Linked DNA regions of Styela clava. The protein of the gene in region 1 interacts with the protein of each later gene in a biochemical or structural test. Links are inferred from orthologs where the notes say so. Each region holds a gene or a part of one and is shown on either strand. Other genes may lie near its edges.

Evidence for each region.
Region 2: of the proteins of cell division cycle 7-related protein kinase-like (region 1) and DNA replication licensing factor mcm4-B-like, one has a biochemical effect on the other in vitro, tested with the Homo sapiens proteins (2 studies listed by BioGRID). The link is inferred for Styela clava from reciprocal best matches to the Homo sapiens genes CDC7 and MCM4.

What each region holds. Positions count from the first base shown.
Region 1 is NC_135254.1:1,872,916-1,880,817, reverse strand, and holds the start of cell division cycle 7-related protein kinase-like, read left to right. Parts: upstream 1-4,899; 5' UTR 4,900-4,941; coding exon 4,942-5,098; intron 5,099-7,019; coding exon 7,020-7,181; intron 7,182-7,531; coding exon 7,532-7,621; intron 7,622-7,902. UniProt on the Homo sapiens protein: Kinase involved in initiation of DNA replication. Phosphorylates critical substrates that regulate the G1/S phase transition and initiation of DNA replication, such as MCM proteins and CLASPIN.
Region 2 is NC_135254.1:19,994,844-20,002,592, reverse strand, and holds the start of DNA replication licensing factor mcm4-B-like, read left to right. Parts: upstream 1-4,716; 5' UTR 4,717-4,948; coding exon 4,949-4,967; intron 4,968-5,415; coding exon 5,416-5,459; intron 5,460-5,726; coding exon 5,727-5,829; intron 5,830-6,614; coding exon 6,615-6,778; intron 6,779-6,950; coding exon 6,951-7,087; intron 7,088-7,669; coding exon 7,670-7,749. Other genes in the region: coiled-coil domain-containing protein 180-like, read left to right, coding at 898-1,054, 2,574-2,744, 3,317-3,519. UniProt on the Homo sapiens protein: Acts as a component of the MCM2-7 complex (MCM complex) which is the replicative helicase essential for 'once per cell cycle' DNA replication initiation and elongation in eukaryotic cells.

The sequences.
Region 1 (7,902 bases):
GCATCAAGTTTTATTTGAAATTACGTTCCACATACATAAAATTTTCTTTCCGCATTCCTTCTGGCGGACGCAGGTCCTATTTGTCACTGAATGATGAAAGAGATTCAAGTTTTATTTTTGCCTTTTCTGGCGTGTAAAAAAACCTGAAAAAATTTGAGGCAGTGTGGAAAGGATCCCGCAACCTAACACGCCGCCGGCAGAATAACTCAAGTAAATTGAAGGCACCGCGATGTTGTGTGACTCGACTTTAAAAACTGTTACATTCGTATTAAACATACCTCCATACTATGCAATAAATCGTACCTTAATAAGGGCATGGCGAATGATAACTATTTCTCTGCCAGAGGATTGATTCGATGCATACATGCTTCAGCACTTTCCTGTCGCGAAAGGATCTTCTCCAGTGCCATTGGTCAAGGATGGGCATTCCCTTTTAAACCCAAAACCAGTGCACCAAAATCGCGCGGCTTTCGCCGAGTTTGCCCAAAGGTCAGCTCGGACCCTGTAACCACGACCTAATCGGGTCAATTATACACCGAAACCAACGCCTCATAACCACTTTCGGACTTCAGAAAAAGTTTTAAGGCCGTTTCATTTTCTACTCTTGAAGATTGATCAGGAAAAACCACTTGCTTCGCCTCGTCATTGCGGGAGAATAAAAGTGGCAAATGTCGTGAACCATTCACCTTTTATTTCAATTTCTGCCACCTTTTGCAGCACCCATTGCTATTTATCATTTACGTATCAAAAGTATCTTTTTCAACTGTTATATTCACAAGCTAATGACGAATGAAATTACAGTGTAATACAAAATTAAAAGACGAAAAAAAATCTAGGCAAAATACGGAGACAGTGTGTAAAAAACATACAATCACAGTCCAGTTAATCCTGCTGCTTTATAACAAACTGGTTAGTCGAGTACCACGTTTTCCAATCGTAGTTCAGCATCTTGACAAGTTTTCCGCCATCTTTAATTTCTTGATTCTGCGATTTGAGCTGTGAAATTAAGTACGGAATAGTAGCAAGAGAAACTGTACAAACTTTACCTGTTCATAAGCCCTAACAATTCTAATAAACTTAGTCACTTCCAAAAATCCCATCGTCATCGCTACCAGGAGCAAACCTGCTCGATATTAGTAAATTCTGCCGAAAAGCAGCGCAGCCACCCTCCATAGCGAAGACACCCGTCTGTAACCAGCGACGTCAGCCGATGGCTTTCCTTGACAACGTTGAGTCCTGATTGGCTGTACCAACGCACGTGATCAGTGTTTCTTTTTTCTCGAACGTTCAATTTGACAAAGAAAGCACGTGACTGCCTGATCAATTTTACGTCATTTCCCTTCGTTCTCACTTTATGCCCTCAGGGTATAAACACATCACATCGATTTATAAAATTGATTTATACAAATTAAAGAACTGTACGGCCAATTTCAACTCTTCAGGAATTATTGAAACTTAGAATATGTGATCGCCATTCAACCGTATCGGCGTAACCTCATTTTAGTTGGAATTAGCTAAATTTGTAATGAATATTCGTTTACTAATTTGGTAGTAAGCATTGCCAAACAGTATAAGATATTGCGTATACCAATATCTTATTTATTCAGAAATAAGCGGCCAATATACTCCCGAACTACACATTTTCTCCTTTCTAATTTACTTAAATCTACTTCATCTTTCAACTATCGTTGAGTAATATGTCCCATATACATAGCAATTTACGAATGTATGTAATGGAAAACTCAAACTGACTTACTTAGCGATAATGTGTGAGCGCCTATCGTGACAAATTAGCAGATTGCGAAAACAAAAACAAGCGATTCTTGATTACGTTGTGATTAAGTCGCATATCTAAATGCAACCATAACAAAAGTTGTAATTCTATCAGGGTCTCGTCAGATAACACATGTTCGGATCAAATGCCCTTATCTTTGTTTTTGGATAAATCCTAATCTGACTACGAATTACGATTAATTTTGATAGGCGATCTCAATAGCCTAAAAGGATATAAAACGAATACCCTCACACACAAATGAATTACACTTTAAATTCATTGACAGCAGCAAATCAATCAAGTTTTGCAAATCAAACGCTTTTCGCTGCGGGACATCGCAAATTTGTCATTGAAGCAAAAAACTTTGAATTGTCGCGAGGTGGAGAAAGAGATTTATGAAAAGATTATTTATTAGGTTTATTTATTATTTCAACGACTTTGTGGGAGATTTAAATTTATCGTTCGCGAAGATCTTTGAAAGCGTTGTTTATGGCGGTTAGTTTATGAATGGGCGTTAATAATTCCGTTTCTAATTATTCGCGACGATACAGTACTTATTTTCTGGCCAACCAAAGTCGTAATTACAGAATTAGGAAGACAGGTGTTTTCTAGGAACATTCAACGATACGGCCAGGACCAGGCAGCGGTTAAGACTGTCAGACAGTCTTGTATTAGACAATTAGAACAGCGCATAATTGCCTGTGATAACGGCAAAACGGAATTAGAGTAATAGCTGTAATGTTAGATTTTGTCTGTTTGTTCATGTCGTTGTGTTGAATAATTATTTAGACTGGTTGGCAATGGTTTATTAGCAGACTGCTTTTTGATTCAATGGTCTCCAGGAATGTCAGAAAGTTTTAATTTTTCTAGTATTACAGTATCAGAGTATTCTGGTATTGAGATATGCAATTATTGCAAACCTAATATGTACGGTTAAGTGTATATATTGCTATATTGTGTATTTCGAATAACATGTGAAACTTGATTGGTTTGCTAAATGATACTTTCTATTCAACCCGTACAGCTGTATCAAAGTTATACTTTTTATTACTGGTGTGACTGATTGACAACCAACATTCTGACATTGGTTTTTACAGGTCACCGTTATCATGTTTTTTTTCCGTGTATTTTTATTTTGGTAAAAAATACACTTCTGGCTGACTAACTTACTTATGTTATGTCTCATGTTTCAGCTTTTGAAAATTTTGTGAATTTCCATCTTGTTTTGTGTGTTGTCATCCAGTACAGCACATACATACATATCTGTCCAGATTCCAAGAATAGCCCCTCCACATTGGAAGACATCAATTATAACAATGATTACAAACCCCTCGTTTATGAGACAGTCTGGGCCTTCATATTGCCTTAGCAATCCAGCACTGCACAATAGACAAAAAGAAAGCGCAATCTAAAAACGCACCATTGGAATCTTACGGTAATCATACTCAGATTAACAGAAGACGAAAAAAATTTGTCTGTAGCATTTGTGATGTTTTAGCAAAAAAAACATGAAATTTTAGTTACCGTATTTTCTCGAAATTACGCCTATCTCGCGAATAAGCCGACTCCCTAATACCAGCTTCAAAATAGTGAATTTATAAAAATTCGCATATACGCCGTTTCTACAAATCGTAATGGAAGACAGCACTTTGCGGATTACTGTCAACATAAAAGGAATTAAATCAGCGCCGACTTGAAGTACCGAATGTATGACATGACAACATTTTTGATTGAAAATATTTTACAATCCTTATTTTATATTAACGTAGTCGAGATATCCTGAGCGGCAACGGCAATAAATTTGGTTATTTTTCGCAAGTCTTCTCAAACATGATTTGTGTAAGCTTCATATATGGGTTGATATATTTTATAATGTATGCCAAAGTGTCTGCCGATTATTTAATTGACTTTGTATACCTGCTGTTATTTGTGTTAATCCTTTAAAAACAAAAACGTGGGAAGCACTTCCTGCCCGATATCGGCACTTCAGAAAGAAAACCCTACCACGAGATAACGTAATTGATTTATGACCCTTCCGTTTTGCTGATTCAGGAAAAAAACGGAAAACACAGCTGTTGCCTAACCCATGGACGTACAGCAATATTTATCACACCATATTCATATGTTATTTCAACTTTTCAGTTAAATGGTTGTTCAAAATAATTGAAATTACAGTTTTATTGTTAAGAATTAATGCTGTGACTGTGAGTATTATTCTACCTGATTCTTACTTGTAAATTTATGTTAATAACGTCTATATTGCTTTTCAATGCGCGGTGATTTGTATTAATGAAGGGATAAATCAGAAGGGATCAGCATAAAACAATTTCTTTCAAATCGCATGTTGTATTAACACATTCTTATAAATCGCTGATTCGGAAGTTGCTATTAAAAGGATTTTCAAACGTCGTAGAATGAATGTCGTTTTGTGACATATTTACAAGCTCCACTATTTCGATGTTGCTCCGTACTGCGATTTGAATAATTTTATTTATCATTTAATTTTAAATATTGTGTCATCACCTCAACAGCGTAAGCGATGTCATGCATATGTAACGGTAAATATTTCAATTATAACGGAGATAACAGTCTTTATCAGGGCAACTGAAAAGGATAACATATCGTAAAGGTGATCAAAATGAGGGCGCCGTTACTTGCGTTGTACCCGATAGTGCACTAAATGATAACGTTTCACCACGAAACGCTGGCCGTAAATCGACGCCAATCAGACTGTACGAGCGTCACGTGTTTAACAACCAATCACAGACTGTACGAGCCATCAGCTGTATGATGAGACAATCACACCGGCACAAGCGATTGTGTGTGTGCGTTCTTTATCGTGAGAACTTAGAGCGGTTTGAAGCTTTTGGAATTACCGGCAAGTTAGCTAAATGTCAATCTCGTTGCGTGATCAAAGTCATGCGCAAATGAGTCGATTTTTTTTATGCAATCTGAGTTATGCGAGTATAAGCCGCCCCCTTAGTTTGGCAACTTTTTTTTTGTGTTTTAAACTCTGCGTATGTGCGAAAATATACGGTATGTGCTGAACTACCAGCCTACTTTATTTTGGCGGCAGATTGTGACTGTAGTGACAGAATTAATAAAATAATATTTTCTGCTTTCAGATATTTATTTTATATATTTCTATATTTTATTTAATCCAAGATATGTCGAAGCCCGAGTTATTGGAAACCTTGAACAACTGTGAATTTTTATCAAAAAAATTGAAACTTGAAATTTGCAATTCTAACATTACATCACTGAGATCGGATACTGTAAAATGTTTGGATGTATTAAAGCCCATACATTCAGAAAATAATGAAGGTAACTAATTAGATTTATCAATTTTGTGATTGATAAAATACTAATATTTACCCGTTTTGTTGTTGATTTGGTTTCTGCGGGACTAACAACTTATTCTTCTTCTATGCTTTTATGTCCGTATTCATATAATGACTGAATGATGGGATGCTGTAGCAAGAGGGAAGAACTATCTTGAATGATTCAATAGTCTTGCTGCACACTAACAGCGAGTTGATTAGTATGCAGCAAGACTCCTGTGTCCTTTTCAGCTTATGAAATTTTTGGTAGATTTCAATTTCTAATATTAAATCAAAAATTTTAAGGTATAATTACATACCGTACTGATAGAGAGAGAATATGAAATTATAAAATGAAAAATGAGTCAGCTGATGAAAATAATTTTTTTTCTACTATCCGACACTTTACATCAGACTTAATAAGATATAGTAATATTGTTTAAAAGTTTGATTTTCAAATACGAAGCTTTTATATTATAGTTTAAAGTCGTCTCCATCGAAACTGCATTTGGGCTGATATTTCATGTTAGTGGTCAGACTTAAAAACCTCAATAAGTATGTAATGAGCCAGTAATGGAGCTCAGCCCGGTGAGCGTGAGTAACGGGAGTGTAAAACTGTGATGTCATTATAATTGAGACAAGAGAGCTATGCTCAAATATATGGACACGTAGCGCCACCCAATGGCAATAATTTTGATGACGTCATAGCGAGAAAAAAAAGTAATAGCCTTCTGGAGAAAAATTTTATCTTTAACCACTGAAAATTTCAAAGCAATTGGTCCAGTATTCGAAGAGAAAAGCAATTTTTTAAAAATGGAGAAGGGGACAAATAACAATAACAACAAAATTTTGAAACGATCGTTATGTCCACTTTGTGTCCAATAAGTCTTTAACCCAGTGGTTTTCAAACGATGGGGCACGACATTTTCACAGGGATGGGGATCTAAATAAAACTATTTGTTAGATCTGATCTTGCCTGCCTCATTTTAGATATTCACATTTCTTTATTGTTTAGTTAGAGATTGCGATTCAATCCACGTATTTTCAACATGTTTTTTTAAATAAACATGCTTTCGCCTTACTATCTGTTATTTGTAGCCATTTCTATCATTAAATTAATTTAAAAAAACTAAATTATGCTACTGTTATAAATATGTCATTTTTAGAGTAAATTCCCCGATCAGACTAATCCAAAATTTATCTTCGTTCTAATCAGATTACCTTTTGTAACTAGTACAAATAGTTTTCTATAAACTGAGAGTTCAATAAAAAAAAAACTGTTTCAATTTATGTATTCATTCATGTGTTGTATTGGGTGGTAACTGACTCAGATGACCGTAAATCGTATCGTTAACTCCCAGTCATACCGAAAACATTTGGTTCACTTATTTTGTTATTATTATATTTTATATTATGTGTTTTCTGGTTGACGAAATGATGAATTCTCTCTCTCTATTGTTAGCTTGTTATTTTTGAAGCGTTTTAGCAAGGTTTCTAGTGCTTTTAGATGTCTTTTCACTACTTTTAAGCGTTTTAACAAGGTTTCTAGTGTTTTTAGACGTTTTTTTCACTGTTATTAAGCGTTTTAACAAAGTTTCTAGTGTTTTTAGACGTTTTTTTCACTGTTATTAAGCGTTTTAGCAGGGTTTCTAGTGTTTTTTCACTGTTTTCAAGCGATTTAGAAAGGTTTTTAGTGTTTTTAGACGGTTTTTCACTGTTTTTAAGCTTTTAGCAAGGTTTCTAGTGCATTTAGACGATTTTTCACTGTTTTTAAGTGTCTTAGCAAAGTTTCTAGTGTTTTTAGATGTTTTTTTACTGTTTTTAATTGTTTTAGCAAGGTTTCAAAATAACACAAGCCTTGACAAATTTTGATGTTTGAACCACTGCTTTAGCCAGCTTTAACCAACAAATTTCTTATTTTTTAGACAATGAAGAAAATTCAAATTGCAATCTCACATCGATAAGTCCACCATTCCCATCTCGAAGACGACTACGTGGCGTATTACAGAACAAGACCAATGTTCAAGACTTCAACGATAAAAAGACATTGAATACCAAAACGAAGGAAAAAGAACCTGTTTTGAAGGGTATATTGAATTTTCTGACTCTGAGCTAATACTCCTGATTGTCTATTGGCACGTCTGTAGTTTCGCGCAACTTAACTCAGAGAAGAGTCTCATTTATATCTGAGTGAGTCCACCAAACTTTACTCAGAGATGAGTCTTCTTTACTTCTAAGAGGAGTGCCCATAACTTTGCTCAGAGATGAGTCTCATTTACCTCTGAGTGAGGACATGCAACTTCACTCGAAAATAATGCTCTTTTACTTCAGAGTATAATAATATAAACTCGCGGTTTTGAACGTGAACGTGCAGTCCAGCGTGCCGCAACAAATTTCAGTTTAAATTTTTCACTTTTGCTTATGCATTACTTCCTAGATGCAACAAACCCTGGTACGATAATAGAACTTGTTTCTAAAGTTCCTTCTGTGCAGAAATATTTCGACGTCAAGAAGAGGATTGGCTGGGGTGAGTATTGTAACAACACATTTGTATTATTTATTGCATTATAGACATCTAATACATATAACTATTCCTATACTAAGTGACGTATCTACATAAAATGGAGCCCATGTCAAAGTTTAAAAATTCACCTTTTGTTCTTTAATTAAAAATTGTAACGAGAATTGTTGAATTGAGATATTTGTACATTATTGTTATTCTTCAGGTAAAAATACCGGTTGCAATTATTTCCAATTTGAATTTTTTTTGTCGAAATATTTCACTTGGCTATCAAAATTGTTCACCTT
Region 2 (7,749 bases), about 18 Mb from region 1:
CCAATATTGAAACTAACCAATTCGCCGTGTAATAATGGTCGAAAGCAGTTGTGGGATTCAGGCGGTTCGCACCGGTTCTATAGAACCGTCTCACGGAATTTTATGAGACCAGTGAACCGGTTACCATTACTGGTTACTGTCAATGACTTTTAGGCAACAGAACCGACTAGAACATATGACTTTTCTGATGGAACCGGCTAACAAAAAATTTGAATCCCACCACTGGTTGAAAGCCCTTGTTTCAGATATTGTAATCCTTTTATTTCTATTTCACCCAACCCTTTGAGTTCATTCAGAAGGTGCTGACATTTTTATACTCGTTAATTTGTATATTATAGTTCATCCAAAGTTTCCTAATGCTAGAAAATTACTGTTAAACTATGCGAACAAAGGCATAGGTACCTTAACATAGATCAAACATCCCAGATCTTGGTCCACAGAAATAAAAAAGCAAGCTGAAATATCGTGATAATATAGTGATGCCAGTCTCAGTCTTTTGAGACTATCCGCTGTTGAGACTATTTTCCAATGATACTCCAAATGATAATTTAGAATATACAGGGTAACCAAAAAAACAAAACTTGTAAATTTCTTAATTACTCCTACAAAAATAAAGAAAATTTATTTAACACTTGAACCTCTGTTTGTGTATGATTCTTCCCAAAAGTTGCAGTAATATAGAACGTTTTGCACAAACGTTATGTTCTCTCTGGAATATGTTCTATAATCGGTGCCCCAGAGGTATGTGCATCTGAATCTGTGGGCTTCAAAGAATTTCTTTTTTTGTGTGCGAAAATGTTATAAAAAATTTTGCGATTGCTACACTAGTACCGGTAGCTGTACTACTTCGTTTTGGTCTTCGTGCCCATATATTAAGCATCGCTCTCTTGTTTTTAGGCTGAAAATTTGTCTGGTATTCAACAACACAGCAAGGATTTGAATGAAAAGGCTCATGAAGTCACAAAGCATTTTTTGCTCAATATTGGACAGGCTTGTGCAAGTTTATTGGATCAGTTTGATTATTCTCTCACAATCGATGATGTCAATTCAGGAAGTATGAATTATTGTCATATGTTTTGATGACTGGTAAATAATTTGATTTGTGGCTGGTTCAGATTAAATTTGACACTTTGTGTGTTGGATTGAAAATTTAGTTTCTACATTATATACGAATATTTATTGAAAAAAGTATCAGTTTTTTTAGTAAAGTTGATACTTATACAATTTTTCATCCAGTTAACAGGAATGGCATCAATGTTTAATTAGCGAATTTAGTCTTTCAAAATATCTTGATATTGGACAATTTTCGGTTTTAGCGTTGAATTTCGAATTTACTATTGAGGGAAGAGGGCAGGATTAGCCATCTAACTTATAACTTGTGATCTAACTTGTGTAGTAACTACTTAATAGCCCCATGTGACTGTATAAGTTGATGATAATTTTAGAGATTAGTTCGGCTTTGTAAGCTTAAAAGGGATTACTGGGATCATCACAGCCATAGGGTAGTTCATGTATCCGCTGGTTGGTTAATGCTTCCTTTGCCATCAAGTTCATACATCTAAAAAAAGTGACTGATTAACTATTCCCATTCCTGAAATGGACTGCTAACCGGATAAGAGGCTGTGACCCGCTATATCAGGGGTCACCAACCTTTTCGAGGCCGAGGGCTACTTTCTGGGTACAGATTAAGCCGCGGGCTACCAATCCAATGTACACTTCTAAAAAGTCGCAGCTGTGTGGCCATCGTTAGTGTGCTAAGCGTTAGGTTCGCGAGGATAGTTATGTGCAAGAGGATTGCTGGACCCCTTGCTGCCGTTGGGATGGCCCGGGATAAATATGTAAATCCCATCCTATCCTGAGTTTATGTCAAAAATGTTGATTCACAAAGATAGGTTGAACGAAACAATGGTCTCGTAAAATAGAATTGCTGTATGATTTGAATCGCGAGCTTTTTCTGTCCGTACTGCGCTGGATAGTTAGCGCGGTAGATTGCGTGACAAGCCGTGAAATATCTTTTCGCTTGCCGTCGCTACAATCGCCCCACAGATGAGACACGCGCAGGCTGTTTTCATGTTGGTAAAAATATATCCACCCCCAATCATCGTGAAAATGGTGGGTTTTTCATCGTTTTCTGCCATTTTTCTTTGGAATCAATAATTATATTATTGCTGCTCCACAAACCAACGGAAAAGAAAAAGCGCGGAAGTGCGGGTTCGTAGTAAGTGATATCAGTGTGATGTCATAATTGGAAGAGTGTTAATTGACCCGTCACATTACTGAGGGTCAAATAAAAATCAGGTTGATGGCTACAATAATTAATATAGTGCCATTCCCGATTCCCATATAAGTGTGATTTATACAAAAATAGCAGGACAAAATTTAATCGATGTAGCTTACTCATAAGCGCCGTTATTAAGCTCAGTTTGGAACAGACCTGCGGGCGACTTATATGGTCTTCACGGGCGACTTGGTGCCCGCGGGCAACGTGTTGGTGACCCCTGCGCTATATGATAAACCTGTTTCGTCTTTTTTGATAATCCTATTTTGTAATTATTTATATTCATATTTTTTAGAAATTGAGTTGAAAAAAGAACCGACTAGTATATTACTAAGGAAGAAAGCTGCTGGTATTGATCTGCATGACACTTCATATAGACCATCTTTGCCACGTGGACCTAATGTCTGGCCAGGGCTTGAAGTTTCTCATCTTCTTGAAAAGGGAGAAGTATTAACTGAAGTAGCAGGTATTGAAATTTTGTCTTCTAAATTTGAACATTTCTTAAAACTCACTGACTCATTGCGTTACGGGTTAGGTTTATTGCCCTTCATGGAGGCATTTGTGAACCCTGTTTGGGAGTATCTTGTTCAATGAATTGGTGGATCTCTTATCATCACAATGTGGCTTCCTTCGCTAGGTATGCCTACACAAAAATAACTGATCACATTATGGTTACTCTCAAACTGGACTTCCTTTTGGGCGAGATAGAATTTTCCTATTTATTTCAAGGGGGAGAAAATCAATTATATCTATGGCAAGTTTATGTCCCGATCAAATCTTTATGTGTCTGTAGAATCTATTGTAAAAACGTATCAATTGAGGCTATATACCCTACTGGTTCATGTCCCAGTTATGTGCACCACCCTACCTCTGAACAGATTCAGTCAATCCTCTTACTCACACATATCCATCACACGATTTGAACCTGCTGACCCAAGGAACAGATTAGAGGTGCAAGTGCAAGTGTGTTTCTTCTCTAGTATTAACTTACCCTGAATGGCATGAATCTAAACTTCAATCATTTTCTCAAATTTACAGAAGACATAAATTGCAACAAGACGACGCTTTCACACACATCATCCGTAACCACGAGAGATAAATGCCTTACAGCCTTCACTGAAGCCTATAATTCAGTCATGGGTGAAATTAAAGAACAGGAAGAATTAAGAACACTCAGTGAAGAGAGATGGGCAGAAAATTGGCGACAGTCTGTTCGAAACGTCCAACAGCTTTATACGTGATTGATAAATTCAAAAGATTAAGTTGTTATAGGATGTAGATGTATATATATCCCTTGTATTTTCCACTGTTTGTAATAAAGTTTTAGTTTCATAGTGTATATTATTTAAGGAGTGAATGAGGTGCGTTCTACCAGAAATATTCCAGTTGTGAATAAAAGCGCACACGCCTTGGACTTAATAGTCGTGACTCGTAGTTTTGACGAACGCATCATCACTTTTCGGATAAAAGGTCCTAAAATCCCTTTAAAATAACTGTTGAAATGGCTCCAAAGGCCAAAGTAGGTATTTTACAGAAGAGCGTGCTGCCACAGGTTCGGTGGATCTTTGTAATGGTGTCGCAGTCATAGTCAAGTTTATTTTTTCCCATTCCCATTTCCTGAAAACACATTTTTACTGGGGAAGGGAAGTCGCGGGGAACCAGGAATGGTTATCGAGCAGCGACACCCGAACCATAGAAGTCTGAGAACTACTGTCCTAGAAATTGTTTAGTTGCAGTAATCAAAACATCGCTGAATCAGAGGTACTTAAGTAGTTACACAACACTAAATTCGTTCAGTCATTGTATTTCAGTTCTCTAACATGAATCAAAACAACACAAAAAGTAAACAGAATACAGAGATATCAAAAAAAGCGGCCATAACTTTTAATGATCGCAACGATTTATGTCGGAATAACGAAATGAAATGATGGACTGATTGAACTCGCGATTTAAAATCGTGCAAATACTTCTACACAATTTAAAATGATATCAATAAATAGAATCAATCAAACAATTTATTTTGGTCACTCTGACCCAATTAAATGTAAGAACAGAGCCATTGGGGAAAATTTACAATCGGGCAATACAACAAATTACTGCTTATCCATATTATTATATCACATCTAAAATGGAAACCAGGCGATTTTTCCTCTCGCTCTCTACACTTTTAATCCATATTTAAGTATGACAGTCCAAAAGTTCATTGGTAGTTTAGATCTGGCCAAAGCCGCGTTTAACTAGGTTTGTGTTTTTTGTAATTTTTCTTTATGTGTGTGCTGGTGGGCGGGCACATGATCAACTTCATGTTTCGAACGTTTTTAAAAGTTTGGCTCGCGTTTCAGAATTCTCTATTTTTAATTTGTGTGTGATATTAAGTTTTCAAACGTTCTAACTATCTATCCATCCCATATTTATCCCTGCTTGGAAAAGTTTTGAGCAGATCGATGTCATTGAGCAGACGCACCACATGCAGCGCTGCGCCACCAGGAGCTAAACAACTTCGATCTGGCACTCCTCTTATTGACCGGTGAACATGTGTGTGTGGCGGGAAAGCTAAACATTTGCATAGGCTTCGACAATAAGCCAGTTTGTTTACCAGGTTGCCTGACACCAACTCAGTCATCTTTTGCCTAATTTTTGATGTTCTTGACGTTTATCGGGGAATAAACCATGTCTGATAGATCGACACGTGAGTATTAAGTTTATAATACGTTTTGCTAAGATTTCACTGTGTATTGCCAGGCTTAAATCTGTAAATGCTATTTATTCAACCATTTGCGAAACTGATTGCCAAAATATTTTAAAGCGTCGTACCTTAAATCTAAAAATAGAGGATGTGATTTATTTACCGTATGTCAGTATGTGAAGCAAATTTAAAAATATACACCAACAGACCAATGCTAGATCTGGAGATTGTTTCATGTTCCTGTGTTCAGATCTTCTGGTCTATGAACATAAAAAAATTGAGTGTCTGTTTCACTTTTTCAACTGCCCTATAGGACAGTCTCACAATTTCTTGACATTTGCCAAACTAGCCTACTGGCCTAGGGCAATAATACTGTAATACATTAATGCTGTAATGTAATATCTGAATACAGAGCGTATGGTAATATGTGGCCCTATTTTCTTTACTTTAGCTTCAAGAAGAAGAAGAAATCCCAAGTCTCCTGGTCGACCACAGGTGTGTTTCTTTTAGTCTTACAGTCTTATATTGTTAGTCAATCTGTGTTCCATTTACAGAATTATAGCTGGATTTACTGTTATTTTTGTATTTTTCAGCAAAGTGATACCAGTAGGCCCTATTGGGTTTATCTTGAAAAGAGCTCAAATCTGCAAATAGAATTAATATAGCAATTTTTCACTGCCATTGATTTCAATTGATAATGCATTATCAATTCTTGCCCAGTCTTTGAGAATAATAGCCTATGTTTGTTTTCTTCATTGTCAGGTTCCATCAGGAAGTAGTGATCCTCACCTCTTACCAACATCACCTGCCAGGTTATTGGATGTTTCTAGAGATGCAATATTGCCAAGTCCTGGATCTATTCTGGGTAATGTATAAATTTCAAAAAATTGGCAGTGCGTGACTAACTAGTGCATTGTTCTAAGCGTTAGGAATACACTCGCCACTACACACCTCTAATTACTCTGCTTGGGTTCGCAGGTTCGAATTTGATGTGGGGATGGTAATACGCAAGGGGAATGCTGGCCCCTCATCGCCCCCTCTTCACATAACCGCTGGTCGCTTATGGCTTCCTCCGGCATCTAGTTCATGCTTCCTAAAACAAATACCTGGCTATTTAATCCCATACCCGACATGGACTGTTAACTGGACGAGATAACGTGGTTGGCTATATCATTAAGCCATATTATCGGCTTTCCTCTCTCACTGGATAAATATGTCAATCCTAATTCCTATTCATGTTTGAGTCTGTTTGAGTCTGTTCCGGATAAGCATAGGATTTTCATATTTATCCTGAAGAAGAGAAAGAAAGCCGCTAGTAGGATGTTTCAATCCATCTGGTGAATCACAGTTTCTCGTCCAATAACCAGTCCATGTCAGGTATGGGAATAGTTAACCAGTTATTTGTTTCAGATTATGTGCGAGAGTTTCACTGAACTTCCTGTAGTAATAGACTGGCTCCCATCACAGCTAGCCATTTTTGACTTTCTCCACCATCAGAGTTCATGCATTTGGAATGATTGACTGATTAGCTCTTCTCGTACTCAGCATGGACTAGTTTCCCATATGTTACTCTGGGATAAAAATAGGATAATCCTTCACTGCTTTTATAATTACTAACTACAAAATACTAATCTGCCGACTGTTGCACAGGTGCCAGTGAGCTGAATTTGTCTTCTCCATTGTTGTATGGCACACCTGGTGCTCGTACTCCTGGTCGAACTCCTCGTGGAGCTGCTACACCAGTACGACAGAGACCTGATCTAGGAAGCAGCAGTAAAGTTCGAACTGTTAATGTGAACCCAGATGCCCAACAGGTGATAATCTTACAATTGACATCAGAACTGCAAACTCTCGCCTATCAACAAAATGTTGTGTTGTTTTGCTTTTATGACAGATACTAGAATGGAGTGTTCTTCGGAACTTTCCCTCCAAAACAGGTTTTTTGGTCTATTGGCCATTTCCAACTATCTTTATTTAATTTTTCAGTCGTCTGATGCAGCGCCGCAAAATGCAGACATATCTGATGCTGCTGATCAACCTGCAGTCAGTAACCAACTTGTAATATGGGGAACGGATGTTGTTGTCAGTCATTGCAAGGAAAAATTCAGTCAATTTGTTACCAGGTACTAAATCATAATTTTTATGGAGCAGTTATCGTTATCAAATGATGATTTTATCACATTGTGTCTAAAGTCTAAAATGAGGATTTCACTTTAGTAAATGTTTTTGAAATGTGTGTATAACCTTGGAATTCTTTGAATCTTTACCCCAATTCTCTATGCCGGGGGTGTGCAATCTTTTATACGAAAGGGCCAGATACAAATAACTAGATGAAACCATGGGCCTCACCTTTTTTCAACATATGCTTTGTAGTAGTTGCAGGCACAAAAATGTTGGTTATTAAGCTTATGACATGCGTTGTTCGCTTCGCACAAGCTAGCTGTAACGTCATAGACATAGATGATAAATTGCACCCGGGTATAGGCTTTGCAACAAAAAGCGATTGGAATTACTCCCACGTACCAGATTAATGAACTGTATTAAAAATTTGTTTCTTTCATTTACATTTAATAAGGCTTGTTTCATAGTAAAGCTTATTAACCGAATAATAAATTATTATAAATCTCTTGATAATATTAAGAGAATTGAAAACGCATTAGACTAACAAACATGAAAACATCTTCTAATTATCTTATTTATTTCAGATTCATTGATCCAAATGCAGACGGAATGGAAGTGGATGACATGGATGTCAACCAACCACTTTATCAACAGAAACTGGAAG